Coturnix japonica: one gene and its partners. The protein of the gene in region 7 interacts with the protein of the main gene of each other region in a pairwise test. Links are inferred from orthologs where the notes say so. Each region holds a gene or a part of one and is shown on either strand. Other genes may lie near its edges.

Region 1 (3,500 bases), on a different chromosome or scaffold from region 7:
CTTGAATTAAATGCAGGCTCCTTGGGGCCAAGACTTGCTCTTTCTCTTCCTAATGAAGGAAGGCAGCACTCTATCACTTGATGAATGCAGTGACTCTCATTACACATCCAAATGTACTCTGCTCCCATGTCTCCTTCATTCTTACTGCTCTAAATCATGAATGTCAGGCTGATTCACAAACATCAGCCTCTGAGAAACACTGTTTGTTCTCCAGTAACATGTCCCATGTTGGTCTGACTCGTGCTTCTATTTGCTTTTTCAGTTGTTTCCTCCCCATCTCTTTTATCATATCATCTTGTAATGTGCATCTGTCTTTTGTGGAAGCTGGAGACATTGTGGTGATCTTTTGTTGTGTGAAATGGGCTTCAAGTCTATTCCTACATCTTTTTGAGCCACCTCTTCTGGACAGCAGGCTGCAATTTATCCTCAGGTTACCAATCCAGCTTCTTGACCTTTATTGCTCTGCTATCTGCGGTCCCACAATTAATCATAATTTAGACCTTCCTCACAGCCTGGCGAGACAAGGATTTACTCCCATCCCTACTATTCTTAGTGCAAGAGGTCATTTAATGGGATTAAGTACCATGCCCAAGGTCACAAAGGCTGTTTGTGGGACAGCTTGGAAGTGAAACATGGTTATGGTGTCCAGTCTCACAAACAAGCTTTATGCAACACAAGTCCTCTGCAGAACTGATGGGAAGAGACTGAAAGAAAGTGGGTTCAAAGCCTTAGAAGATTCCTTGCATTGCTGTGGTATTGACCATACCCTCCCTGTTTACATAAGAAAGATTGCTCATCCTTAATCACTCCAGGAACCCATGAGCTCTGCATTTCCCTGAGACAGGAGCTGAGGAAGCACAGCTCTGCTTGGTGGGACCTTTCTTATAATCCCACCTCCTCTTTTACCCAATGAGCTCCTGAGCCAGGCTCTGCCCAGGTATGGGACATCTCTGGGTTACTTTACCATTCTCCATGTGGTTCCTCTCGATGAAGTTGCGGCCAAGGTCTGCTTTGCAGATCTTCTCCACGTGCCTCATGCAGACATTGAGGAGGTCATCGCGGAGCAGCCCCATGGAGGGGCTCATGCTCTCCCCTTCGAGCAGCACGCTGTACGTAGGGAGGGAGGGAGGGGGAACGTAATTCCTCATCAAAGCCCCAAACTCCTGTCAAAGAGAGGAGAAGAGAGATTATTCAGGAATATAAGGAGAAATCCCGAGAAACTGTCTATGTCAGGCTCCAAATAACACAAAGAGGGAGGGAGAATAGTGAAGATGGATGGGAGGTAGTCAAATGCTTTGGCTGTGTGCTCTAGCCACCAAAACAAGGAGGAAAAGAGGGTTTGGCATGCTGAAGTTCATGCTTCATGGGAGCAGACACAGCTTGAAATGCCAGGGCTGGTTCCTCACGTACATATGCATTGAACTGGAACAGACAAGTGCTTCCTATGATGTCTGAGAAAAGGAAAAGCAAATGAGGTCTTTCTGACCTGGAGGAAGAGCACGGAGTCACTGATCTGATGGATCTGCTCCCTGTTCTCCTTGTCCTCCCGCAGCAGCTTTGCCCTCTCTTCCAGCTCATCCACAATCTCTTTCACGTTCTCCGAGGCAATCTTTTCCCTCTGATCCAGAGCAGCCTTCACTTCATCCCTCTGCCTCTCCAGGTCCCGGATCAGCTCCTTGAAATGCTGATCTACCGTTGCTTTCTCATTGGTGGTGTAGTTCTGTGGGGGCAAGGGAAGGAGAGGGAAGGCAGCAGAAAAGACACAATAAATGGTGAGAAACAAGAGGTGAAATCTCGCGTGGAGCCACTTGCTAATAAGGGATGTTGGTGGGGTTGCATCCAAGCACTTGATGGAACAGGAGGGGAGGTTCAGATTGGATATTAGGATGAATATATTGTCAGAAAGAGTTATTGGGCACTGGCACAGGATGCCCAGGGAGGTGGTGGGGTCACTGCCCTGGAGGTGTTCAAGGAAGGGGTATGTGTAGTACTGAAGGACATGGTTGAGTGGGCAATATTGGTGGTAGGCGGACTGTTGAACAGATGATCTTAAAGATCTTTTCCAGCCTTCATAATTCTATGATTCTCAGCATTGGGACTATGACTATGGAGACTTTAGGTATGCAATCCTTAGCACCAGAAAGCTATGCTAAGATAAGTAATATGAATTCTTGCAGTAAGTGTGTATATAGATAGTGCCTGCTGTCTTCCTCATTATAATAGCATCTCTTCAATTCGTGAGCTGCACTCCTAAGTGATATTTAAAAACAATGTCTAACTTTCTAAATCATAACTCTGGCTCCTCCAGAATTTAAGGACCAAATTCTCTCCATTTCAGTAGATGAAAGCTGCTGAAACACTTCCCATCAACCTCTCTCCGTCCCTCTGAAATACTCCTCAGAATGACTATGGATGTAACTATATTCAGAATTACAATTTCTAGGCCACATTTCCAATAATAGTAATAGTGGTGGTAATAATAATAATAATAATAGAGGAGACAAAAAGCAGAACTGGCAAGCCAGTGTGTGTGTACCACATAAAAGGGAGAAGAACGGCTTTGCTTATTAATATTATGCAAATTCTCTGGGGTGTCTTCAAATGGTGTTTTCACTGCTCTATTCAGTTAGGGTGTAAATTAAAGAAAATAAAACAAGGCACCGTGACTATATTCTAACCCTCGTGTGGTGAGAGGATTATAAAGGAGACCTCTATCAGTATGGAAATGAGCTGTTCCACTATAAACAAGGCGTAGCTACACCTGGTTGCTTTAGAATCATAGAATGGTTGGACTGGGGGGGGGACCTCAAATATCATCTAGTTCCATCCCTCAGGGTCGCCCAGGATCCCATTCAATGTGGCTTTAAGCACCTCCAAGAATGGAGGCGGGCAATCCAGAGCACTTCTGGAGTTGATTTTCTAAGTGGACCAGCAGGAGAAAGGCAGCATGCTTTTGTTTCCAAATGGACCTGGTTGTTGGTGATGGTAGAACCATAGGAACCTAAAGCAGGGAGGTGTCCCGAGCCATTTCATAACAGGGCTGTGCAGACTTCTCTTGCCTCCTGCAGGATGTGTTGCAAAATGACTTCAGTATGAGTTGTTGTTGCCAAGATGTAGCGTGAATGAGTGTTGGAAAGTGATGAGGTAGAGGCTAGGTAAGGAACGGAGTGAGTAAGAGCTGGATATGCCAGGAAAACTGAGGGAAGAAAGAGTGATGGGAGAGACTGGAAAAGAAAGAGACAAGCATAGGACAGATGGAAAAGTGAATATCCCCCCACGCACCTTGATACGGTCCCTCTCCTTCTGCCACTTATCCACTTCATCTTCAACCTCGATGATCTTCAGCTGCAGTTGCTCCTTCTGCAGCGAGAGCTCAGCCTGCAGGAAGAGAGGAGATGCATAAGCAAGGGCTGCATGGCGTGCCTTGAGGAATGCTGTGCTGCATTACATTGCAGTACAGACTGCTTGGCATTGCTTGAGGTGGAGACAGGGGATAAGGT
Region 2 (4,210 bases), on a different chromosome or scaffold from region 7:
TGCATAGGCATAAGTGGAGCCGTAGGAGGTGTAGGAGCTGTAGCCACTGGGCATCTTGCTGTAGGTGTTCTCAGCATAGCGGGACGAGTCAACGTACCGTTTCAGTGTGGAGGAGAGCTGGGACATGCTGGAGGCTGGGGCTCAGAGGTCTTGGAAGGAGGCATGGGCTGCAAGAGAAGGGCCTGGGCTCAGCTGCATGGGCTATGACTGACACCAGACAGTGCCCACCCCAGGACCCCCACCTGGAGACCCTGTGCAGGGACCTGATACCACTGAATTAGGGCTTCACTGGGCATGGCAATGGGCACTCATGGTCAGCCGATGCCTCTGCATCATCATCCATCCCTGCTCCCTGCACGGTGCCTGGGGCCAAGCTGCAGCCACCACCCACCAGGGGGCATTGGGGACAGTGGGGACAAACAAGGGACACCGTATTGCAGCATACAGCCTGTCTGCCTGCCATGCCAGTGCCCTGCCTGCCTGCCATCAATAATTCAGCAGTGCAGGTGACCGCTGTGTCCCCGTCACCAGGCACAGCCAGCCTGCAGGGCAGTGTGACAGCCAAGCACTGGGTCCTATGGGGGGTGGTGGCTTCTCCCACACAGTGACCCATGCACAGGACAGGAGGGGGAAGGAGGCACCCGGAGCAAAGAAGGAACCAGCACAGAGTCAAAGACAGGGCAGCAAGAAACCTCCCACAAACAGGGAGGACAGCTCTCTCCTGTGCTGATGCAGGTCTCCTACCTGTCCCAGGGCTGTGCTGCCTCACATCCCTTCCCTGGCCGGACAGTGGTTCGTGTGACTCTAAGAGTCCCCTGTCACCCAGGAGATGACCCAGCTCAGAGGTTTTTCCCAGCCCTGCTGGGGCGGGCACTGGCCTCACTCCAAGGCAGCGTGGAGGTGATGGGATGGAGCCTGGCTTTATCCCTTCCATGCAGGGCACAGCTGGGCATGGGGATGGTCACCGAGTGCAAGCACCATGGGATCCTCCCTCCTCGGCCCTGGGCTGTGTCCTGGCTGCTATTGCTGAGGGAGCAGCAAGAGGAAACTATTTACAAGCGAGAGCAAGCCAGAGCGCACAGACCTGTTTGGGAACTGAGGCCGAGGGGTGAATAATCCCCTTGCAGGCAAACAAGCCACCAACACCCGGCTCTCCCTGGCCCATCCGTGCCAGCACTGGGAGGGCCCTGGAGCTGCTCTACCAGCCAGGATCCAGTGCATACTGTAGGGTTTTGCTGGGGGATGTGGGACCCAGCCAAGGACCAGCATTCCCATGGACATTGGGATGAGGGTGCTGGAGCCCTGTGGCTCCAACGGGGGCTTTCAGTCCATGGGATTAATCCCTAGAGGATACTGCCTGCCCTGGGGGTGTGGAGAGCTGATGTGCAGGGATATGGGGCTCAGGAGGGGGATCTTGCCCTGGACATAGCGGTGAACCCACTGGTATCATGGGAGGAGAGGTCTTACCATGTAGGGCTGCTGTGTCTGCTAGGATGATCTGCACCGTGCTGTCCCCATGTCATATCGCTGTGGACCCCAGGGCTGTGGGAGAGCGGAGTGTGCCATGAGCCCGAGGAGCTGAGGGGGTGTGAGAAAAACCCCGGTTCCTCCCATCGCTTCCTGACCTGCCTGGCCCCTCCCTGCCCAATAATAATGCTGAGCCTTTCTGATGCAAAGCAAAACCCTGAGGCTGGCATGGCTGAGTCAGGACTCCTGCAACCTCATCATCCTCCCTGGGGAAACTGAGGCACGGGAATGTCCGGTCTGTGGCCATGTGGCCATGAGCACTGCAGGGATGCTCATGTTGGGGAGCTCATTCCCAGCATTCCCAATAGAATCCCCATTGGTCTCCTAGGCATTGAGTGAGCTGACATTCACACTGGTGGCCCCGGTGGCAGCTTTCCCCCTTGGTGGCTGCAGAGCCCCAGGGTGAGCTCAGCTTACACAGCCCTGGCTCCAACCGAGGTGTTACGGCTCAGCTGCTTCTCACTTACGCAGGCTGTGAGCCCTGTCCCTGTGCCCTGAGACACAATGTCCCAGCCTGGAGGTTAATGCAGAGCTCCCAGCATGATGCCATAGGGGAGGCAATGGGGGGGATCCCATGTGGAACACCCTGCCCATTCCAGGCTGCTTTAGGGCTGAGGGTGCTGGGAGGGAAGCAAGGTGGGGGAGCTTTCCCCATGCAGTCACAGGTTGAGAATGCACCCAGCTCAGCACATGTGTGTTGCAGGCCTGGCGTCACTGCGCTGACACATCCCCACCTGGCTGCTCAGTGCTCCAGGGCCACCCCAAGGCAGCAAAATCCCAAACCCACAGTGGAACCCTGATGGAGGGCCCAAGGTGACTGCTTTGAGGTCTGCAGGTGGATAAAGAATAGGGAGCCTGGGGGGGGAAGTGGATGGGACATGGCTGTGCTCACCCAGGGGCCAAGTGCCAGGCATGGTCCCACCCTCTATGGAGATAGAAAAACATCTTTCCCATGGCTTCACCCCAAACAAAGGGAAAAGAGGGCAGAGTTAAGGGTCCCACTGACATCCCGCAGCCCCCTCCCCATTGCTGCTATCCCCCTGTGCTCCCTGCACTCACCAGTGGCTGCGCGCTCAGGGGTGCGAGGTTGGCACGGTGTGGGGTGAATGGAGACTCATGAGGCTGCCTTGTTTCAGTCCTCCCTCCTCGGGGTTCTTCCAGGGGCTGGAGGAGAACAGGGGGGTGTTGGGGGAGTTGTGGCAGGGTCTGATCACCCCGAGGTTCAGTTGGGAATGGTCCGGAGGGGCCGTGCCGGAGGGTTGTGGGGCAGCGTAAAAAACACACAGCAGAAATTCAGGGCTCAGGTTACCAGCTAGATAAATATAGAGTCTTTATCTGACCTCGCGGGGCGCCGAAATGCTCCTCTCGCATTCCAGCTTCAGGGAGGCTTAAAGGGGACGTGAGCCCAAGGTAAGGCCCACGGTAAGATGGGAAGGATGGGGAGGGGAAGGGGGGTTGTGGGGGTGAGTGAGGGGAGAGGGAAGGAGATGGGGGTCCAGGAGGGAATGGATTGATAAAGAGTAAGAGGGGAACGGGGAGCTGCTTTGGGTTTTGTTACATGGAGAAGAGCCCTGTGGGAGGGGGCCAGGAGCACCCACCCCTGTAACCCCATGGTGACACAGGGGGACATCAGGGCACAATCCTGGGTGCCTCTCCCTGACGCCTGACCCACCCCGTGAGCCGGCACCGCGGTGCCTGTGACTCAGCCAGCACCTGCTGACGATAATTAGGTGCGGGATGCAATTATGGTGGCATCTTCATCCCCGCTGCCCAGCTCCAGCCCCAAAACAGGGAGGGCCGATACGTCTGTGCTTGGGTGTGACTCCCAGAGGCTTCTATGGGGTCACCCATAGGGGGATATGCCCTGTGTCCAACCCCACTCCCACTCACTCCCTGCCCACTGGGCTGCCTCCACGCTGCAGGCAGGGCAGGATGGAGATGGGGTGCCAAGGGAGCCTGTGCCCATATGCCCACGGATACCTGGTGGTACCTACCCTGCACTGCCCCTCTCCCCATAGCGCAGGTGGCCCCAACCCTGAGCTCACAATGAGCCGAGAAGGGTTCTCTGGTATAGAATGGAAGCGTAGATGGGTGCAGAAGGGGGTCACCCCCCAGCAGGGCAAACCGTGCCCTCCCCCCCTATAGCCCCTCACTGCACACACATCTCCAACACACAACCTAAGGTTTTATTGTGCAGACAGAGGAAAACTCCCGGAGGACAGGTGTATTGTTGTTATCGTTATTGTTGCTTTTCGTAAGGTTGGCTTTTCTTTCTTTTTCTTTTATTTTTTTTTCTTTTTTTCTTTTTTTTTACCTTTTTTTTCTCCTTTTTTTTTCTTTTTTTTTTCTCTCCTTGACGACAAGCTGTGGAAACAACTACAAATGTTCACAAAAAGAATGAGACTTGGGAGACGTGTCCGCGTGGTCGGCCGGGCTCTGCCCTACCCCTGGCCACGTACAGCCTGGGCAGCACTAAGACAGCAAAGCAAGCGGGCAGAGACGGGCAGGAACAGGCATTGGGGTGAGAGGCATTGGGGGTGGAAGGCAGATTTTGGTGGCCGGAGAAAAGCAAGGAGTGGGGACCAGCTGCTGGGAGTTGCTCTCAGCTGTCAGGCACTGCACATGGAGATCAGTGTGAGTGTTGGCTCCTCAGAGCTGATGTTCTTGCCAGCATCTCCTCCTA
Region 3 (4,047 bases), on a different chromosome or scaffold from region 7:
CATGTCAGCAGCCACACACACACACACAGAAGAAGGAAAAAAAAAAAAAAAAGAAAATTGAAAAAAAAATAAATAGCAAAGCCTGGAAACAAAGCAGATGCTGCTGACCTTGTCCCTCTTCTTTAGCACACAGTACATGAGAGGTGACACATAAGAGCGCAAACACCTTTAACGCTACCACACAGCTAGGAAAGAAACTAGGGAGAAAACAGGAGGAAGGAGAGAAAAGGAATGAGTTCCCTTTTCAGCACAGAAACAAGGCAAAGGCCGGAGCTTTGAACTGATTATATATTTAACAATAAGGACTAACATAAGGGACTGTCCAGACAACCACGGACTAACTCTGCTCCTGTTTTTGGAGGAACACAGCAAAAGAGGTAACTGTAACAGCAATTGGAAACACTATCTTGCAGAAGTAAAAGGCTCATAGGGGCAGCTAACCATACACTGACAGAAAAACTGCGAGGGGAGCTGATGGTATAATGAGACCAGATCTGCTTCATGGCCTACATACAGATACTAGCTAATTACAACTGTGATCTTAGCAGTACAGGTGCCTCCTATGTCTGCATTTATGCACTGCTCCCGAAAGCAACACTGCCTGGCTAAGTTTCAAGGAGAAAGTCAGATATGAGGACATGGCTGCTGATGCTGACCAGGGTGGGACACCCAACTTCAACTCCAGAGCTGAAAAATACCAGTATCTGTGAGTCACAAAGTGATTTCGCTCCAGCTCTAGTCCTACGAACACACACACAGTACCACAAACACCTCCTCTGCGGTACTGATGCTGACAAGCAGGGGCAGGAACGCATTCAGAAAGAAGCCCTGCATGAGCTCTGCCCTTTTGAATGCCTCCATGCCCGGCTCCAGATGACATTAGCCATGCACAGGCTGAACCATGGAGGTTTGTTTTTATAAAGGGCAACGGCGTGTTCCATGTGAGGAACCCGCACAGAACGTGCGGCTGCCACAGCACTTTCTCAGGAGCACACACATCACCGCACACAAAAGGAACGGAGTTCGCTCAAGTTTTGAGCTAACAAAAGAACACGGCAACGTTCAGTCAATTCACAGAATAACTCTGATGCTCACAACGAGCCATAAAGCCGTAAAAATAAACCCCGAGCCAGCAGAACCGAGGAGGCAAACTCCACAGAGGACTGGCAGCTCCCCGTGCTCGGGCAGCTTCCTACACAGGGCACGGCGAGGAGAGGAAGAGCCAATTCCCACCCCAACCCCCCGAGACGCGCTTCCTGGGCACGCAACGTGTCATCCCAACTTTTTTTTTTTTTTTCCCCTTTCCTTTTCTTTCCTTTTTTTTGTTGTTTAAAGCTCGATGCCGTTTAAGCGGCCACTGCTCGACAAAACCCTCGGCAGCCGCTTACCAGAATATTCCCCGCGGCCCCCGGGTCAGCCCGTGCCCGCACTGCCCCGCACACCGCCCCCACCGCAAAACTTTCCGGCCGTGCCCCGGCTGCGAGGGACCCCTCCGCCTCCCCGGGCCAACTTCTCCTTTGTGCCGCTCTCCCCTCGCTGACACAAAGCGGCGGCTGTCAGGAGCCCGCCGGGCCCCTTCCCTCACCACCCCCCGCCGCCACCTGCCCCCTCCCCGGGGAGCCCCCGCCCAGGTGACCCCCCTCCGCCCTGCCCCCACCTCCTGTCCCCTACGGCCGACACAAGTTTGCGGCGGCCCCGTCCCGCCCTCCCACGGGGTGCGCTCACCTCGGCCCGGCCCGGCCGGTGGGAGCGGGGCGGAGCGGCGCGGGGAGGCTCCCAGCCCGGGCGGGCTCCGCTTCTTTGTCTCCTCGGCGGCGGTACCCGCTCGCTCGCTCCCCCCCCCTCCGCTTCCCTCTTCCCTTCCACAAGCGGATGCGGGCTGCGTGCTCCGAGAGGGGCCGGCTCCCCCCCTTCCTCTTCCTCCTCCGGACGCGTCCAAGGCCCCGGCCCTCGGCGGCTCCGCTCCTCGCCTCCCTCAGCCGGCGGCGGCCCCGGCCCCTCCTCCGCCCGATCGACCGCCCGGCCCCCACCTCGCACAGCCCCCGCCCCCGCCCTGCCCTTCCTGCCGCTGCCGCTGCCGGGATCGCGCGGGAGGAGCTCCCCGGGCTCCCCCTCGCGCTCCGGGAGTGCCGGCGCTTCCTCCGCCCGCCCCCGCCCTTCCTTCCCCCACCTCCAGCAGCAGGAAGGCCCGGCCCGGTTGGGGGCTGGGGGTGCCTCCCAGATCTCCGGGGAAAGTGCTCAAAGAAACGGGGGGAACCCGCTTGTGGTGCTAGTGCTGGGGCTGTTACCTGCTGTCCGTGTGGAGAAGGCATCCGGCGTGGAAACTGTCCCCTTCAGTCCCTTGCTGCGTGCCTTGGGCAGGTGTGAGCCATAGGTGCATCTCAGCACCCCCCTCCCTCGGCAGCCTTTGTGTTGAAGTTACAGAGCTGTTGGCTTTCTGCCCATAGCAGAAAGCTTCTGCCACAAGATTGTGCCCTTCTGGAAAACTGCTGTGCCACTCCATGCACAGAATCACAGAATAGTTTGGGTTGGAGGGGCCTTTAAGATCATCTAGTCCCAACCCCCTTCTGTAGGCAGGGACACCTCCCAGTAGACCAGGTTGCTCAAAGTCCCATCCAGCCTGGCCTAGAATGCTTCCAGGGAGAAGCTTCCACAACTTTGCCAGGCATGAGTGCTGAAAGCCAGTATTTCCCACAAGGTCTTCAAGATGACTTACCAAAAGCTGATGTTGAGGGTAAAATCAATGGTGGGATGAAGGACTGACTCAACCTGCGGCCTCATCAAGTAGTGCTGTGGGACCCAGTTCCAGCCGCAGCCCTGTGTCACAGAAGAATAGAATAACTTGGGTCAGAAGGGAGCTCACAGACCACCCAACCCCACCCAGTGCCATGGGCAGGGCTGCCCCCCACCAGCTCAAGCTGCCCAGCACCCCATCCAACCTGGCCTTGAGCATCTCCAGGGATGAGGCACCACAGCTATTCTGAGTGGCAATGCCAGCACCTCGCCATCCCCTGTGTAAAGAATTTCCTTCTAGCATCTAACCTAAATCTCCCCTCTTCTAGCTTAAAACCATTCCCACTTGCCTAGTCACTGTTAAACTGCAAAAAGTTGATCTGCCTCCTGTTGGTAAGCTCCCTTCAAATACTGAAAGGCTGCAATGAAATCTCCCTGGAGCCTGGTCCACACTGAACAAGCCCAGCTCCCTCAACCTTTCTTTGTAAGAGAGGTGCTCCAGCCCTCTGACAACATTCATGCCCCTCCTCTGGGCCCATTCCAACAGCTCCACATCCCTCCTGTGCTGAGGGCCCCAGACCTGGACATGATACTACAGATGAGGCCCCACAAGGGCAGAATACTTGTGCTAACCCACTATGTGTCTTTGTGCCACTGGCAGATTGGGAACTGGAAGGGTTTGTCCTTGTGGAGGCAATCAGGGAGTTCAAAAAGGAAAAATCAGTGCTGCAAGAGGAAGTCACTTTGAGACACTGTAAAACAATTGACTTTTCAACACAAACCTCTCTTAATGAAGAGATTTGAGCTCTACCAGTGCTGGTTTAGGCTTTAGCTCATTATTCATTATTAAATGCACAAACCCAAAGCAAACTTAGCAGTATCAACAAAATTCTGTCTTGTTTCCCCAACTAACATGGAACTTAATGGAGAGGAACTTCGTACCAACTTTCAACCAGTTACAAAAATACATATCCTGAGATTTTGCTGTGTTTTGGTTTGAAATAGTTTAGAAGTCTGTGAATAATTCCCTCTTCTCCTTGCAAACTTCTACCTGTTCTTTCAGCATTTAATTGATGGTTTCGGAAGCCTCAGTTGCCTTTCACATGCCTGCTAGATAAAACTGAAAGGAAAATGTGGCCTCTTGTTTCTTCCACGAAAGACTAAGTGTGTACCTCAGGGAGGAACGGAAAGCCCCTTTCTTTTCAGCTCCTTTCGTGCTCACATTTGACTTTGATTTGGAGGAGTTTTAATCTCCCTTTGTGAACCATAACCTGCCCCGGCTTTTTGAGAGCTGGGAAATATCTGGGGTCTCAG
Region 4 (2,260 bases), on a different chromosome or scaffold from region 7:
GCTGAAAATGAGGTATTTCCTTATACAGGAGCAGCAGGATACGTTTCCACTACAAAAGGTGTTGAAAGTCGCAGACGTGGAGAGAGAGTTTGGCAATTACCTCTTCCGTAGGCAGTGCTTTGATGGTGCCAAAGACAGATACAAACGGGTATGACACAAGAGAAAACGTGTTTTCACTCGTGAGTTGTGAAAGTGGTGATTTAGTGCTGGCTCACTGTAACAGGTGCACTGCAGAGATGATATGACTTCATCATATATTCAGGTGTAGTTCATTATTTAAGAACTGACCTGAGATGCTGTTGTACAAGTAGCAGTAGTAAATGAAAGAGGAGGGTTGGCAGAAATCTGCAGACCCTTCTTTCAGGAGTCCCTTCTGGACTCCCAGTTGGGAACAGAATACTTGAGGCTGGAAGAAGCCTCTGGATTTTGCCTAACCACGTGCTCGAGGGCAGCTAGAGCAGGATATTGCCCAGGATTGTGTCCATTTAGGCTATGAACATCTCTAAGGATGGAGACTCCCCAGCCTACCTAGGGAGTACCTTTTTATTTCAATGCTTTTAAGTTCCTTAATAGGTTGCTGCAGTCTTGTGACTGAGCTGGTTAGTCATGCTGATAGCACTGTGTGGTATATTTAGGAGTCTGATAACCTGGGTCAGTTAAAAATAATAAAGAGAAACATGGCTGTAGCTGGCTGATTGGGATGGATTTCTCATGGTAGATTTGTGTGCTGGTCCTTTTCCCTCTCTGCTCAGGCACACTCCATCCTTGGTCGCAGCCCTTCCAGTGAGGCAGAGCAGTGTCAGATTAATGCTTCCAAGTTGCTGGTGCTCCTGAATCTCTCAGTTACTTACCTGAAGCTGGAATGTCCTGCCCGAGCTCTGATGTATGGGGAAAAAGCCTTGGAGATTGACAGAAGAAACGTCAAGGCGCTGTTCAGGTGTGGTCAGGTGGGCAAAGATAAATTCCTCTGGTAGCCACATCAAGCAGTGACCCAGCCTGACTGGCTGTGTAATAAACAGAAGAGCCACTAAATTCTGGCCCAGGCCTCCTGAGCTCCTGCAGCAGTGGAGGTGATTCGTCAGCATCTGAAAATCTGCTTCTCAGTAAATCTGTCACACAAATCTTTGCTTGAGGGATTCCTGAGGTACCTATATCTGTCCCTGACATGTTTGTAGTTGTACGTATCTCAGTCCCAAAGGGTAGCAGCAAACCTATATTTATCTTTTAATGCACCTGTCTTCTTTCAATGGCAGGCTTGTCTCTGCATGACAGAGTATGAAAAAGCTCGGGACTTCCTGATCAGAGCTCAGCATATAGAGCCGTTTAACCGCGACATTAACAACGAACTGAAAAAGCTGGCAAGGTGAGAACTGCTTTCCATTGTTGTGCTTAGACAAGCTGAAAGCATCCCATGAAAACTACTAAAATACTCCAGGGTTTGTTTAGAAAATTAATAATAATCAAGCACCAAAGCTGTCGGGTAAGTAAATGTAGAGTGTCTTTTATTGTGGGAAAGGCTCACTCAAGGTCTTGCACAGGGTGGTTGCAGGTGATATGTCAGAAGCTAAAAGTATTCATTTGTTCCATAGAGTTTCTCAGAAGGGGGGTGTGATCCACTCCATCTGAGCCATATGGGTCAGGCCGATGGCAGGGAGGTGGAGGGCTGCTGAGATACCTCAAACCCAATGAAATGCAGTAGGTTGGCACTCAAGAAGATCACGTTCTACATTAATACATGGTTTTCATTTCCTTTAAGATGCGTCAGCTGATTACAGCTCTTTTTTGCACTGCAAGTGTTTCACTGTACAATGCTACAAATACTGATGTTCATCTGTGGGAATATCTTAAAAGTGAATTTCTTGCTGTCTTGGTAGTAACAGATGAGCAATCCCAAAGGCAGACTTTCCCTTTGCCTGCAGACTGAGTACAGCACAATTCTACCAGCCTTAGTCATGCCCTAGTCATGAAAACATGACTAACACTGGCCTCCATCCTCACTCTGTTCTTTTGCTTGAAACTGGCAAAACCAGCAGCTGGTTCCCATAAGTTGTGCTGTACTTCTGGCACTGTTCACGGGCACAGAAAGGGAGGAAGTCTCCAGCTTCAGCAATCCCAGAGCTGCCCTGAATAGGAGCCCTCTTTGGTGTTGCTGCTGGGTGTTTGCAGTAAGGCTTGGAGGGAACAGTAACATCTCAAATAAGAGTAGCTGGTATGACTTGAGACAGTCTGTGGGCTAAGGATCTTCACCTGGTAATGTTTT
Region 5 (2,763 bases), on a different chromosome or scaffold from region 7:
TTCCCAGTTCTACCCCAGCCAAGGGTGCCAGGATTGGCCCTAAGTTACCTGAGTGTGTAAGTCTTTTAAAACCTCCTGGAAAGCATTCTGTCTGAGAATAAAAATCCCATACAAATTGTTTTTACAGAGTCAGCAAGGATCAAGTGAAAGGAAGGGAATTCTTTGAGGAAACAGCCAGCATCAGTCCCCAGTCTGAGCAATCCTTTGAGGAAGAGAAGATAAAAGGCATCAGAACTCCCAGCTGGGATGGTGAATCTGCTGAGGGGGAGGAAGAGGAAGAGACACCAGCCAGCCCTCAGGTTCAGCAGCCTCACTGTGAAGAGGAGGCCAGATCCAGCCCCACCTCCAACCAGCACTGTGAAGAAGAGGAGCAGAAAGAAGAAAAGGAGGAGGAAGAAGCAAAGGCAGGCCTTCTGCTTGGCCATTCCCTGGAGGAAGAGAATGAGGAAGAAGAGGATAGGTCAAGACCCAGCTCTCAGTCTGGTCAGTCCAATGGACAGCAAGAGGAGGGTCAGTCTGACCCCGAAGCTGAGGGTGCTTTCCAGTATGAGGATGAGGAATATGAAAGTGATGATTCTGATGAGAAGCCCAGTGATGAGGAGGCTGACTGAAGGGAAGGCAGATAGGGCAGCCTGGTGCTCTGGAACCTATTTCATTGCTGGCATTGAAATAGATACCAAAATCATGTCACAGAATTGTAGGGGTTGGAAGGGACCTCTAGAGATCATCGAGTCCAACCCCCCAATGTTTTTTACTACTAATATAAGAAAAACAGTGAATTTAAAACTCTTAGCTTAACAGTCTTTCCAGCACAGAAATTGTGTTGATTTTCCAATATGAAAGATTAAGTTATTCATCCCCACCAAGAAAAAAATCAGTTATTTTACATTCCTCTTCTTTAATCTAGACTTCAGTGCCACCCATGCACTACTGTTCCTAGAGTTTTCAGCAACCAGTGTTTAATAATGTCTTGTGAACTGTGCTGTTAAGTACTGAGGTCTCAGCACATCCAGCAGTAACTTGCTCTTGCCTCCCCGTTTCAAACACTGAGGCCCTTTTGGGCTCTGTTCCTGCAATATCTTCTAGGACGGCAATGAAGCAACAAGGGTTTGTTGTCCAAGACCTCAGGTTGTGTTTAGTAGAGCAGCTACAAGGAAGACCATTGTGGTCAGACAAAACAGCCAAGCTTACCTGTTTGGCTCCCCCCTCCTGTCTGCTCCCACCAGCAAGCTGGATTGGCTCAATGATGGGCCAGGAGAGTGCCAGGGTCAGAGGAGAAGGAGGTGACTGCTTCTGGAGGAAACTAGTTGTTAGATGGGTCAACATGAATGTTTTGTGCAGCTAATATAGGAATAGTATTACTGTTACTGAAGGCTTGGCATATAGAGGAGAAAGAAATGCACTCAAATACATTGAGAGCCATCATTTTTAGTTTTCACTGAGCTCTAACACTGATAGAACAAGTGAGGTAGAAGAATAAAGCTTCCAAAAGTTGTTCTGCCCCTGATTAACTTGATATAAATGTGAACAGTTGCACAATGCAGCATATGGAGCAGCTGCTGAGGGATTTTGATGATCCCCATGAAGGATCTAAAGGACTTACCATGTTGTAAAGAGCAAACATTTCAGGGCAGCAACCTGACTTCCAAGCTTCCAAACGACGGGTGAATGAGTTGCATTAATAGGTGTTACTTTTGCTCTGTGTCACTCATGTCACTCGTTGCTATATCTTAAGGAATGCAACATACAAAGACAAACAGGCACTCAGTTAGTATCATTTGTTTAATAAAGTCTCCTCTGTTTTTAAAAAAGTGTACAAGACAGCTGTGTTCTGCATGACAAACAACTAGCATCTGATCTTTCCTTTTAATAACTTAAGCCATGCAGAAAGACTAGCCTGCCTAACTCAGTGTTACACAGCAGCTGAACAATATGCCCAAATACACACAGACCTTCATGCTGACATGGAAACAGGTAGCACGTGACATCACAGAGTGAGGATCAAAGTACAAGCTTGCTCGAATGGTTTTTAGAATTCAAGTGTAAGTTTAAGGAAAACCCCTGATTTATTTTTGAAATGTAGCTTATGTACCCAGAGTGAATGTTCTGCTACAACCTGCCTATGGCTATCCTTTATTCGGCAGCCATGTGAAAACACATACACAGAAATGTTACAAGTCCCTTTTACTACCGGTACTACACATTAACAACTGAATCTGATAGCATTGCTTTGGTTGTTTCAATACAGAATGATGTAAGTTTCTATTGTCTTAGCTCTGCTTTTCCGTTTTTATCCAAAGTCCTCAAAGAGCTTTGCTGAGGTGAATGTCTGTTAGGTCTCTCTTCAAGGATCCAATGCAGCTTTTGTATGAGAAACTGCGGAAGGCAAACAAACAGAGACATTACTATCATACAGGTAATAACACGAACTTCTATAAAGTAGTCATTAGTCCTCAATGTCTTGGGATTTCCCTCACCACTTGGGAAATTTGAGAAGGAGGGAGTGGAAAGATCTGAGCCACGTGTGATATTTCAGAGCATAAATCATATATACTGGACTGCACCCTAGGGATAGGAAAAGGAGGGAAAGGCTAGATCTAAACTTCACAGTGCTGTTCCTAATTAAACTGCCAAACGAGGGCTCCATTGTGCAGATGAGGGAAATAATGCTTTCCTGGCTTCTTGGAAGCTCAAAACCAGCAACACAGCACATTTATTTTATGAAAATAAAAATAATTAAACAAAGGAAAGCTGCAGCTTCCA
Region 6 (4,194 bases), on a different chromosome or scaffold from region 7:
CTGTGGCACATAATGTGCTTAATTAGTGCCTCCAGTGCATGTCAGTAGCATGAGGATTCTCTAGGCTACTATGCTAATGATGTGTTATTAGCACTCAATAATCTCCATTAGGCTGAATTTACTGAGCAATAGGACACAGCTTTGTCCCTGTGACAAAACAGGGGCACAGACAGAGTGCTATCTGTGTATGCTCAGAGAACCTGGTTCTGTTGGTGTCACCTCTTCATAGTAAAAAGCCAGGCACAGCTGTTACTCATCAAGACACTGGGAGGTTTGAATACCTGTGCCTGGGATCTCTTACTCCTGTTGTGTTATACAGCTCTGTGTAGGCTCCGGAGAGATTAGAAGTCTCCTGTTTTACTTGCTCAGCTCACACACCCACTTGAAAAACAGACTAAGAACTGGAACTCCATTATAAAACATTGCGCCCTCTACCTGCTGCTACAGAAACATTTGAGCTTCACCAGACTCATACTGGTGACAGAAGGCAGACACAGATCACAAGGCACTTCTCTCACACCCCCACCACCCTCTCACCTTTAGCATAACCAGAATCATCAACACTGTCTTCATCAGATTCAGCAGATGAGGCACCATCTTCGCTTCGTAGTGGGGGAATTATACTATCTCCTTCTACAACAGCTTCCTTTAGCAGCAGGGAATCAAACTTCACCGTGTAGTAACCACTGTCAATATCTACAGAAGGAAAAGCAAGAAACAAGAGTTCAAGTAAACTCTCAATACAAACACTGCAGAGAGCTTCCTCAAAGTTGGCTTCAGGGAATGATGCGGGAGAGGAGGAAGGCCTGAAGAACACGTGTTAAAACAGCTGAAGGCTTAAGAGATTTACTTATAAAAATAGAGGAATATGGGCTGTCAACAAATGGAACTAAAAAGAAGTTTGACTTACTCCCTCTGACCCAACAAGTGCCAAAGAAAAAAACTTCTCAGAACAGAGGGGAGCCTCTATCAACAGCTCCCAGATTACTGCAGTTCTACTCTAATATGCAATTGTATATGCATGTATATTTCCTATCCTATTCCCTTCCCAAGCCTGACACAACTCAGAACACGTTCTCAACTACCTCCAGATTTTTAGTTCAAGGCCACAGCTACATCCTCAAGTGTTTGCTATCATTAACCAAAACGGTCATACTTTGTAATTCCTTCAGCATGGGTGCTCAATCTCTACACAGCTCTGGCACAACACCCACAAACACCACTCACCAGTTATTTTGGCAGCATACCATATCCCATCACTGTGTTTGGCCAGGCAGGCTGAGCCCACCTCCAGGGTACTCAGATTGGGCTCCTGAAAAGGCTGAAGCTCCTCCACAGAGACCACCTGGCCATGTGAAAACCTGCCAGGGAAGACAGAAAAGGAGTCAGATCTACCTCACTAGAAAGGGCTTGAAATATAAACCCCTTCCTTCCTGACAGGAAACTCAAACAAATTGTCAGCAGTGATGAATCTGCATCAGAAGGTTTATCATGCATCATTTCAATTAAAGAAGTCATTCGTTTTTCACCATATTCATATAATTTATGCTGTGTAATAGAAGAAATAATCCCACTCCCAAGAATGAAGCTTTCCCTGATAGGGAGATCTCTGAAAAATCACAGATCTTTTGAGATAATGAGGACTGCACACAGACACAGAGATCTCAGCCTCCTGCTCAAAGCAAAGCCAACTTCAAAGCCTGATCAGGCTGCTTAAGGCCTCATCTGGGTTAGATTTGAAGCTCTCCAAAGATGGAGACCCCGCAGCTGGAACAAAGGTACCATCAACAGACAGCCCTGGGTGTTTTTGTTTTAACTCATAAGCCTGTGACTAAAGTAGCTATTGGAATGATCAGGTAAAATCTCTGCAACTTGCCCACAGGGATTTCCACTTCATATCTGCATTACCTGAACTGTCCAGCTCTTTGATACCACCTGTTACCATACATAATGGATTTTAATAACACTGCAAAATCCCATTGGTTACAACAGCCAGCGTGGAACACTCAGATGTTCCAGCCTTTGAATCACACGGCCTTTATCAGCAGCGAGGATACGAGCCCCCTCCCCCTCCATATTTTTCTTTACCGACAGTTCTCTTTAAATCTGCATTTGTCATCCAAGAAGAACGGGCACGGCTTCAAGGACTTGTGAGTGGGGTAGAGATACAGCACTCTGACACCTGCACTGCCATCTTCCAAGTACTCCGTCCCCACAATCATGGCATTATGATACTCCAGCGTCCCCCACGAGCTGTAATACGGCGCTTTAACCTTCATCCCACTCAATTCCTCCTCCTCCTCCTCTCTATCAGACTCTTCCTCGCTGCATTTCAATTCACTCTCCTTGCTTTCTTCGTCTCCCGTCGCAGATCTCTCGCTGTTATCAGCTGAGGGCTCACCATCAGTCCCCAGCTCAGCAATGGCTTCCTTGAAGGCAGCATATTCCTCATCCTGGGCACAGCTATCGGGATTTTCACGCTGATTTACACAGGAGGCGCTTGTATCCAACGCAGCCAACAACTTGCTCTTCTTCACAGCCACCAGGCTGGACTCGGTCAGTTCTATCAGCTGCTTTAAATCTTCTTGTAACTGAATCAGATCCGATCGCTGCGAGGGGTCCTGGCCCGCCCCCAGAGCCAGCTCAACCTGCTGCAGCTGGGCGTTGTAGGCCTGGATGGCGGCTTCCAGGCTCTCCTCATCCATTGCGAATAGAAGCCAGGCCCCGGTTTAGGCCTCAATCCGAACCTCCCCGCTCAGCTCCCGCACCCCCACAGCACGGCCGCCATTACGCCCCCCCCACTTCCGCCCTTCTGAGCAGCCACTTCCGGCTTTTCCAGCTGTCGCGCAACGCCACTTCAGCGACCAATCTCTCCGTAGTGCGCTTGCGCAGTCGGGCCCGCCCCACGCATCCGGCGCCGCTGAGCATTCTGGGAGTTGTAGTTTAAAATAACCCCACCTCCCCGCCATAGAGGCGGTGTGAGAACTACACTTCCCAGAGTGCCTCGCGAGGGACGGCGCCGGCGGCTGGTGTGGTGGGGGAGCGAGGCGGCGCTGGGTGACGGGAGGAGCTCCCGGTACCGGGTGAGGGGCTGCGGTGTGCGCTGTGCGGCCGGGCCGGGGCCTGCGGGGTACGGAGGGACTGTGGAGGGATCTGAGAGCTCAGCCGGGCTCTGAGGGGTGGGGACGGCGGGGAGGGCTGCGGGCTGTGGGGCAGGGGGGGTCTAAGGGGCGTTGTGTTGTGACCAACTGCTTGTATAGCGGGTGCTGCAGCAGCACTGCTGTTGGAGAGAGGAGGGTTTGGGATAGGTGAGGGTTCCTACACACACCGCCTGGGTACGTGGTTTGAAGTTAAAAGAGGGAAGATTTAGGTTGGATGTTAGGGGGAAGTTCTTCACTAGGAGAGTGGTCAGGCCCTGGAACAGGCCGCCCAGGGAGGTTGTGGATGCCCCGTCCTTGGAGGTGTTCAAGGCCAGGTTGGACGGGGCCATGGGCAACCTGATCTATGGGGTCTCTATGGGGTCTCTATGGGGATCTATGGGGTCTCTATGGGGATCTATGGGGTCTCTCTGGTCTCTATGGGGATCTATGGGGTCTCCTGGGCAACCTGATCTAGTAAAGGTGTATGTTTGGTGGCCCTGCCAGGCAGGGGGGTTGGAACTACATGATCCTTGAGGTCCCTTCCAACCCGGCTCATTCTGTGATCCTGTGATCTGGCTGTGAGCTCGGTTCAGCTGTTGAAGATCCCATAATACTGTCATAAACAAAGTGAGGGGGCACCAACCTGCACATTCCTGCTCAGAACACTCCTCTATATCTGCACACCACTGGCTTCTTTTCTACGAGTCTTATATGTTCTCTAAGTTACTTTCAAGCAGACTTTAGCTTGCTCTTAAGTCCAAGAGAGAACAAACTTTGAGTTGAGAAGTGAGTTCATAATGGATGCTGTGCATTGTGTGCTGAAACACAGGTTAAGCTACTTGGAAGATCATGTTTTGAACATTGGATCTTGAGCTGTTTGCACTCTTCCTTTTGTGTCTGTGATTTGTCCTAGGGTTGGCTTAAGAGTTACTGATAAACGAGTAATGTCACTTATTAATCTGATGTTGGGAGAAGTTTAGATCATGGAGTGGAAGAATTCTGGAGATAATCTGTTTGTTAATGATTTCCTGGCATCTGTTGCAGGAGCAGGATG
Region 7 (4,097 bases):
TGTCCCCTGCCATCTGGTGGCACGCGGCTGATTGATGCTCATCAGCTGTGGGTGGGATGTGGCATGAGTTGCTCCGTGGGGTAGCAGGGAGGACGCTGGGTGTGGGGGTGCCCCGTGCCCTGCAGCACCCCCTGGAGATGTTCTCCTCCCCCAGGCCAGCCAGGAGGCCGACAACGTCCTCATCCTGCAGGACCGCAAGCTCACGACGGGTCCCGGGAAGCGCTACCTGCAGGTGTCCAAGAACCGCTTTGATGGCGATGTAGGCGTCTTCCCGCTGGAATTCAACAAGGCCTCGCTCACCTTCTCCTCCTACGGCAAAAGCAAGGCCAAGCTGAAGAAGGTGAAGGAGGAGAAGGCGCCTTCACCCAAGAAGGGTCCCAATGGAGGAGGTGTGGGTGGCTCTGGCAAGCCCTGAGTGTGGCAGGGACAACCTTGGTACTCGGGCACACCAGGTGCCGTGCGGCTGCGCTCCTCCTGAGCAGAGCACGATGCTGGGAGATGGGAGAGGAGTGGATGTGCAGGCTTTGGGGTCTCTGTACCCTGAGCAGGTCAATATAGGGTTGCTAAGTGGAGGCTGATGGCCCAGGTTTACCTCCCGCACGGTGTGGTGCTAGTGCAGCTCTGCCGGCTCTGAGCCCGGCCCCTCTGGCCACATGTACCACCAGCAGCAGTAGCAGCAATGCCTCAGGGACACAGCCCTGGGCGCCTCGGAGCCTCTCATGGCAAAACACTGTGTCTGAGCCAGTCCTCCCCAGCACAGGGGAGCCCGCCGTGGGCTTTTGGCCCATCCCTCTGTTTTCTTTACACTTTTATTAAAGCAGAGCTGTTCAAGCTGTTTGTCCTTCGCTGCATGAGCGTCCCCGTGCTCCCATCCCCCATCCCTCCAACTTTGGGTCCCATTCAGCCCCGTGTCCATGCTGTGCGTGGGGCAGGACGGCACAGCGGGGCCCCATGGCCCCACGCACACACACACCTCCCGCCCCAGCGCTGACCCAGCACCGGGCACCTCCCCGCCACCGCGCCCCACGGCTCCCACGCGTGGGGCCGGGAGGAGGCATTGGCCGCCGCGCCGGGAGCCGGGCCCATGGCGGAGGACGGGGATGTGGAGGTGAGCGGGACGCAGCCCCCCCCGTGCTGCCTGCGGGGCCGTGGTGCGGGCTGAGGCCCTGCCGCCCCCTGAGGGCCCTTCGCTGCCGTCGCTGCCCCGCGGCCCGGCCGTAGGGCAACCCCCTGCCGCCTCCCATCCGCCGCGGGGCCGGGGGCCGGGGGCGGCGGGGCGGGCGGGGCCTGGCGCGGGCCGGGCCGGCGGAGAGCGGCGGTGCGGAGCGGAGCGTGAGCGAGGGCGGCCGGGCCTGGGCCGGAACGGGCCGGTGGGACCCGCGGGGACACAGTGGGGCGCTACGGAGAGGAGGGACGGGGGGGGGCGGCCCTGACCCCGCTCTCTCTTCCTTTTCCCGGCTCAGGGGGCGGCGGAGTCGGGCCGGGACCCGCCGGACGGATGGGCCGCGGCCGGCCAGGTGAGAAGCGGGGCGACCCGCAACGGGAGAGGGGGCCCGGCGTCACCCCGGGGTGATGCTGGGGGCGGTGGAAGCGGGGGGCGGCCCCGGGGCGGTGCCAGCGCGGCGGGCGGAGCGCGGCGGCCCGAGCGCATCATGGGGCGGCCCGGCCCGGGTGGGTCCGGCTCGGCCCGGGGGGACGCGTCGGTGTGGAGCTCCAGGGCGGGGGGAGGGGGCGGAGTGGGGACCGTGAGCTGTGGGAGAGAGGGGTGTAGGGACGGGATTGGGGAGCGGGGTGATGTTGGTGCCGGGGTTGGGGGGGTTGGGGAGGAGGATGCTTCAGGATGAGGTGTTTGGGGCGTCTCTCTGAGGCTGGAGCTGAGGTATGGCAGTGTAGGCAGCGCTGTGGGGCAGAGCAGGGGTGCAGGACCGGGAGCAGTGGGGCAGAGAAGGCACCGTGACTGCTACGCAGTGGGGACCCTGCTGAGTGCATGGGGCTGCCCCTGTGGGGCTCTTCCTTTGGGCCCTGCACGGGAGCACTGGTGCTGCGTGAGCCCCCTGCATGCCCCGTGCCTCCCCCTGCTCCGGCTAATCCCAGCTTTATGCTGTTCTGCTCGACGCCTGCTCATGCCCGGCATATCTCTTGCAGCCATCCCACATCTGCCTGCGCCATTATGGGGGTCCTATATTCATTGGTGTCCTATGGGATGAGTGAGTGAGTTTATTGCTTAAGGCCTCACGTTGCCTTTCTTTTACAGGCTGCCTGCGCCCCCCTGCCCGCTGGGGGCCCCCCTGCCATGGCCATTGTGCAGACACTGCCAGTTTCCATCGAGGCCACGCCTGAGGCTGCTGCCCAGCTCCGCACTGCCACCCGCTCCCCCCTGCCCACCCACGGCACCATGGGCAGTGTGGGCAGCCTGATTGCCAGCCGACCATGCCACGATCGCTCCTGCCAGCCTGCTGGTGCTGGTGGTTCCTTCCGTGTGCAGGATACGCTGCTGCGAGCCAGCCCCCCGGATCCCCTGCTCCACACTTTGCCCCCCAAGAAGCCGTGCTCAGCCACTGCCCATGCCTACACCAATGAAGTTTTTCATGGGGAGTGGCTGGAGGCAGCCTCTCCCGTCAGCCCCTGCAGCGACTCAGACGAGGCACGGGATGAACAAGCCCCAAGTGGTGGCATCCGGGGGCCGCCCCCCAAGCTTGTCCCTGTCTCTGGCAAGCTAGAAGAGGTAAGGTGGAAGCAGTGCTGGGGGATCTGCTCAGCCCTGTGCTGCACTGGGGCTGCTGGGCTTGGGGAGACGTGCTGGTGCATGCATAGAGAGAGCACATGGTCCATGTCGCTGGGGGTGGTGGTGATCTCTGTGCTCCTGCTGCCCTCTTCCTCATGTCAGGAGTGGCCATGTGTGTGTGGGAGCCTGTCTGAAACTGCTGCATGGAGCAGAGGGCACCTAGTGGTCATCTTCTATAGAGCTGTGACACTCTGAGGTGTTGGGTGGGAGCAGAATTGGTGGGGTTACCAAGTCCTCCCTGGTGCTCTGGCAGCATCCCCAGCATCTGCCAGGCCACCTCTGGAGTGTACCTGGTCCCCAGATCCCACTCTCTCCTCTTTTGCCTTGCAGAATGTGGAGAAGACCCTGATCCGCCCTATGGCATTCAAACCGGTGGTACCCAAAGTCAGGGCTGCTCCGGGCCCGGCCAGCCAAGGGGTACGTCCAGGGGCTGCAGCATTATCAGAGAGCCAGGTGAGCCTCACCCACCTGCTGGGGACCACCGGGGCCGACAAGCCTGGCTCACTGAGCTGCCGCACCAGCAGCCACTCAGGCACGCTCTCAGACTCGGGACGCAACTCTCTGTCCAGCCTGCCCACCTACAGCACAGGCTGCAGCCAACATACTGAGCCTGGCAACCTCACAGCCACCCCTCACAGCCACCCTGAGCCCCCAGGTGGCTACCGCCCACCAGCCGGCCCCTCCAACTCGGACAGTGGGCGCTCATCCTCCAGCAAAAGCACGGGCTCGCTGAGTGGCCGGGGCCGGCCCTCCTCCGAGAGTGGCTCCTGCGGGCGCTCGCCGCTGCCTGGTGAGGAGGTTCTGCTGGTGCGTGAACTGGAGGACAAGCTGCGGGAGAGGGAGGCCGAGCTGCAGCAGCTGCGGGACAGCCTGGATGAGAATGAGGTGGCCATCTGCCAGGTAAGAACCATATAAGGGTAAGGAGAACCAGGGGAGCTCTCAGGGCTGGGGGTGCCCATATAGTCCTATTGTGTAGATTTGGGTTATGCATGCAGTGATGTGTCTGGGGAACCCCATGGAGATTGTAGATGCTGACTTGGGGAGACATGGAGGTGGTGTGGGATGTGGGATGTCCCATCTCAGCGTGTGCCTGTGCCCAGGTGTATGAAGAGAAGCAGCGTCGCTGTGAGCAGGAGCTGGAGGGTTTGCGGCAGCGCTGTGCGGCCCAGGTGCGACAGGCGGCCCAGCAGGCGCAGCGTGGGCAGCAGGTCCTGCAGCTCCAGGTGCTGCAGCTGCAGCAGGAGAAGAAGCAACTGCAGGAGGACTTTGCTCAGCTGCTGCAGGAGCGGGAGCTGCTGGAGCGTCGCTGCGC

What was found.
Region 1: the proteins of LZTS2 (region 7) and TRIM29 interact in binary tests that used the Homo sapiens proteins (3 or more experiments, as listed by UniProt). The two-hybrid records come from large-scale screens. The link is inferred for Coturnix japonica from reciprocal best matches to the Homo sapiens genes LZTS2 and TRIM29.
Region 2: the proteins of LZTS2 (region 7) and USP2 interact in binary tests that used the Homo sapiens proteins (3 or more experiments, as listed by UniProt). The two-hybrid records come from large-scale screens. The link is inferred for Coturnix japonica from reciprocal best matches to the Homo sapiens genes LZTS2 and USP2.
Region 3: the proteins of LZTS2 (region 7) and NCK2 interact in binary tests that used the Homo sapiens proteins (3 or more experiments, as listed by UniProt). The two-hybrid records come from large-scale screens. The link is inferred for Coturnix japonica from reciprocal best matches to the Homo sapiens genes LZTS2 and NCK2.
Region 4: the proteins of LZTS2 (region 7) and FKBP6 interact in binary tests that used the Homo sapiens proteins (3 or more experiments, as listed by UniProt). The two-hybrid records come from large-scale screens. The link is inferred for Coturnix japonica from reciprocal best matches to the Homo sapiens genes LZTS2 and FKBP6.
Region 5: the proteins of LZTS2 (region 7) and FAM161A interact in binary tests that used the Homo sapiens proteins (3 or more experiments, as listed by UniProt). The two-hybrid records come from large-scale screens. The link is inferred for Coturnix japonica from reciprocal best matches to the Homo sapiens genes LZTS2 and FAM161A.
Region 6: the proteins of LZTS2 (region 7) and ZGPAT interact in binary tests that used the Homo sapiens proteins (3 or more experiments, as listed by UniProt). The two-hybrid records come from large-scale screens. The link is inferred for Coturnix japonica from reciprocal best matches to the Homo sapiens genes LZTS2 and ZGPAT.

What each region holds. Positions count from the first base shown.
Region 1 is NC_029539.1:3,284,007-3,287,506, reverse strand, and holds part of TRIM29 (tripartite motif-containing protein 29), read right to left. Parts: intron 3,379-3,500; coding exon 3,283-3,378; intron 1,721-3,282; coding exon 1,487-1,720; intron 1,164-1,486; coding exon 965-1,163; intron 1-964.
Region 2 is NC_029539.1:3,556,091-3,560,300, reverse strand, and holds the start of USP2 (ubiquitin carboxyl-terminal hydrolase 2), read right to left. Parts: upstream 2,801-4,210; 5' UTR 2,587-2,800; intron 1,543-2,586; 5' UTR 1,468-1,542; intron 168-1,467; 5' UTR 127-167; coding exon 1-126. UniProt on the Homo sapiens protein: Hydrolase that deubiquitinates polyubiquitinated target proteins such as MDM2, MDM4 and CCND1. Isoform 1 and isoform 4 possess both ubiquitin-specific peptidase and isopeptidase activities.
Region 3 is NC_029516.1:122,011,144-122,015,190, reverse strand, and holds the start of NCK2 (cytoplasmic protein NCK2), read right to left. Parts: upstream 2,801-4,047; 5' UTR 2,717-2,800; intron 2,004-2,716; exon of another isoform or gene 1,726-2,003; intron 1-1,725. UniProt on the Homo sapiens protein: Adapter protein which associates with tyrosine-phosphorylated growth factor receptors or their cellular substrates. Maintains low levels of EIF2S1 phosphorylation by promoting its dephosphorylation by PP1.
Region 4 is NC_029534.1:197,457-199,716, reverse strand, and holds part of FKBP6 (inactive peptidyl-prolyl cis-trans isomerase FKBP6), read left to right. Parts: intron 1-28; coding exon 29-148; intron 149-752; coding exon 753-947; intron 948-1,253; coding exon 1,254-1,363; intron 1,364-2,260. UniProt on the Homo sapiens protein: Has an essential role in spermatogenesis. It is required to repress transposable elements and prevent their mobilization, which is essential for the germline integrity.
Region 5 is NC_029518.1:13,374,259-13,377,021, forward strand, and holds the end of FAM161A (protein FAM161A), read left to right. Parts: intron 1-127; coding exon 128-611; 3' UTR 612-2,263; downstream 2,264-2,763. UniProt on the Homo sapiens protein: Involved in ciliogenesis.
Region 6 is NC_029535.1:9,383,828-9,388,021, reverse strand, and holds the start of ZGPAT (zinc finger CCCH-type with G patch domain-containing protein), read right to left. Parts: upstream 2,801-4,194; 5' UTR 2,706-2,800; coding exon 2,089-2,705; intron 1,362-2,088; coding exon 1,228-1,361; intron 697-1,227; coding exon 538-696; intron 1-537. Other genes in the region: ARFRP1 (ADP-ribosylation factor-related protein 1), read left to right, coding at 4,192-4,194. UniProt on the Homo sapiens protein: Transcription repressor that specifically binds the 5'-GGAG[GA]A[GA]A-3' consensus sequence. Represses transcription by recruiting the chromatin multiprotein complex NuRD to target promoters.
Region 7 is NC_029521.1:20,199,742-20,203,838, reverse strand, and holds the start of LZTS2 (leucine zipper putative tumor suppressor 2), read left to right. Parts: upstream 1-1,297; 5' UTR 1,298-1,517; intron 1,518-1,606; exon of another isoform or gene 1,607-1,699; intron 1,700-2,254; 5' UTR 2,255-2,293; coding exon 2,294-2,725; intron 2,726-3,115; coding exon 3,116-3,685; intron 3,686-3,885; coding exon 3,886-4,097. Other genes in the region: TWNK (twinkle protein, mitochondrial), read left to right, coding at 155-415. UniProt on the Homo sapiens protein: Negative regulator of katanin-mediated microtubule severing and release from the centrosome. Required for central spindle formation and the completion of cytokinesis.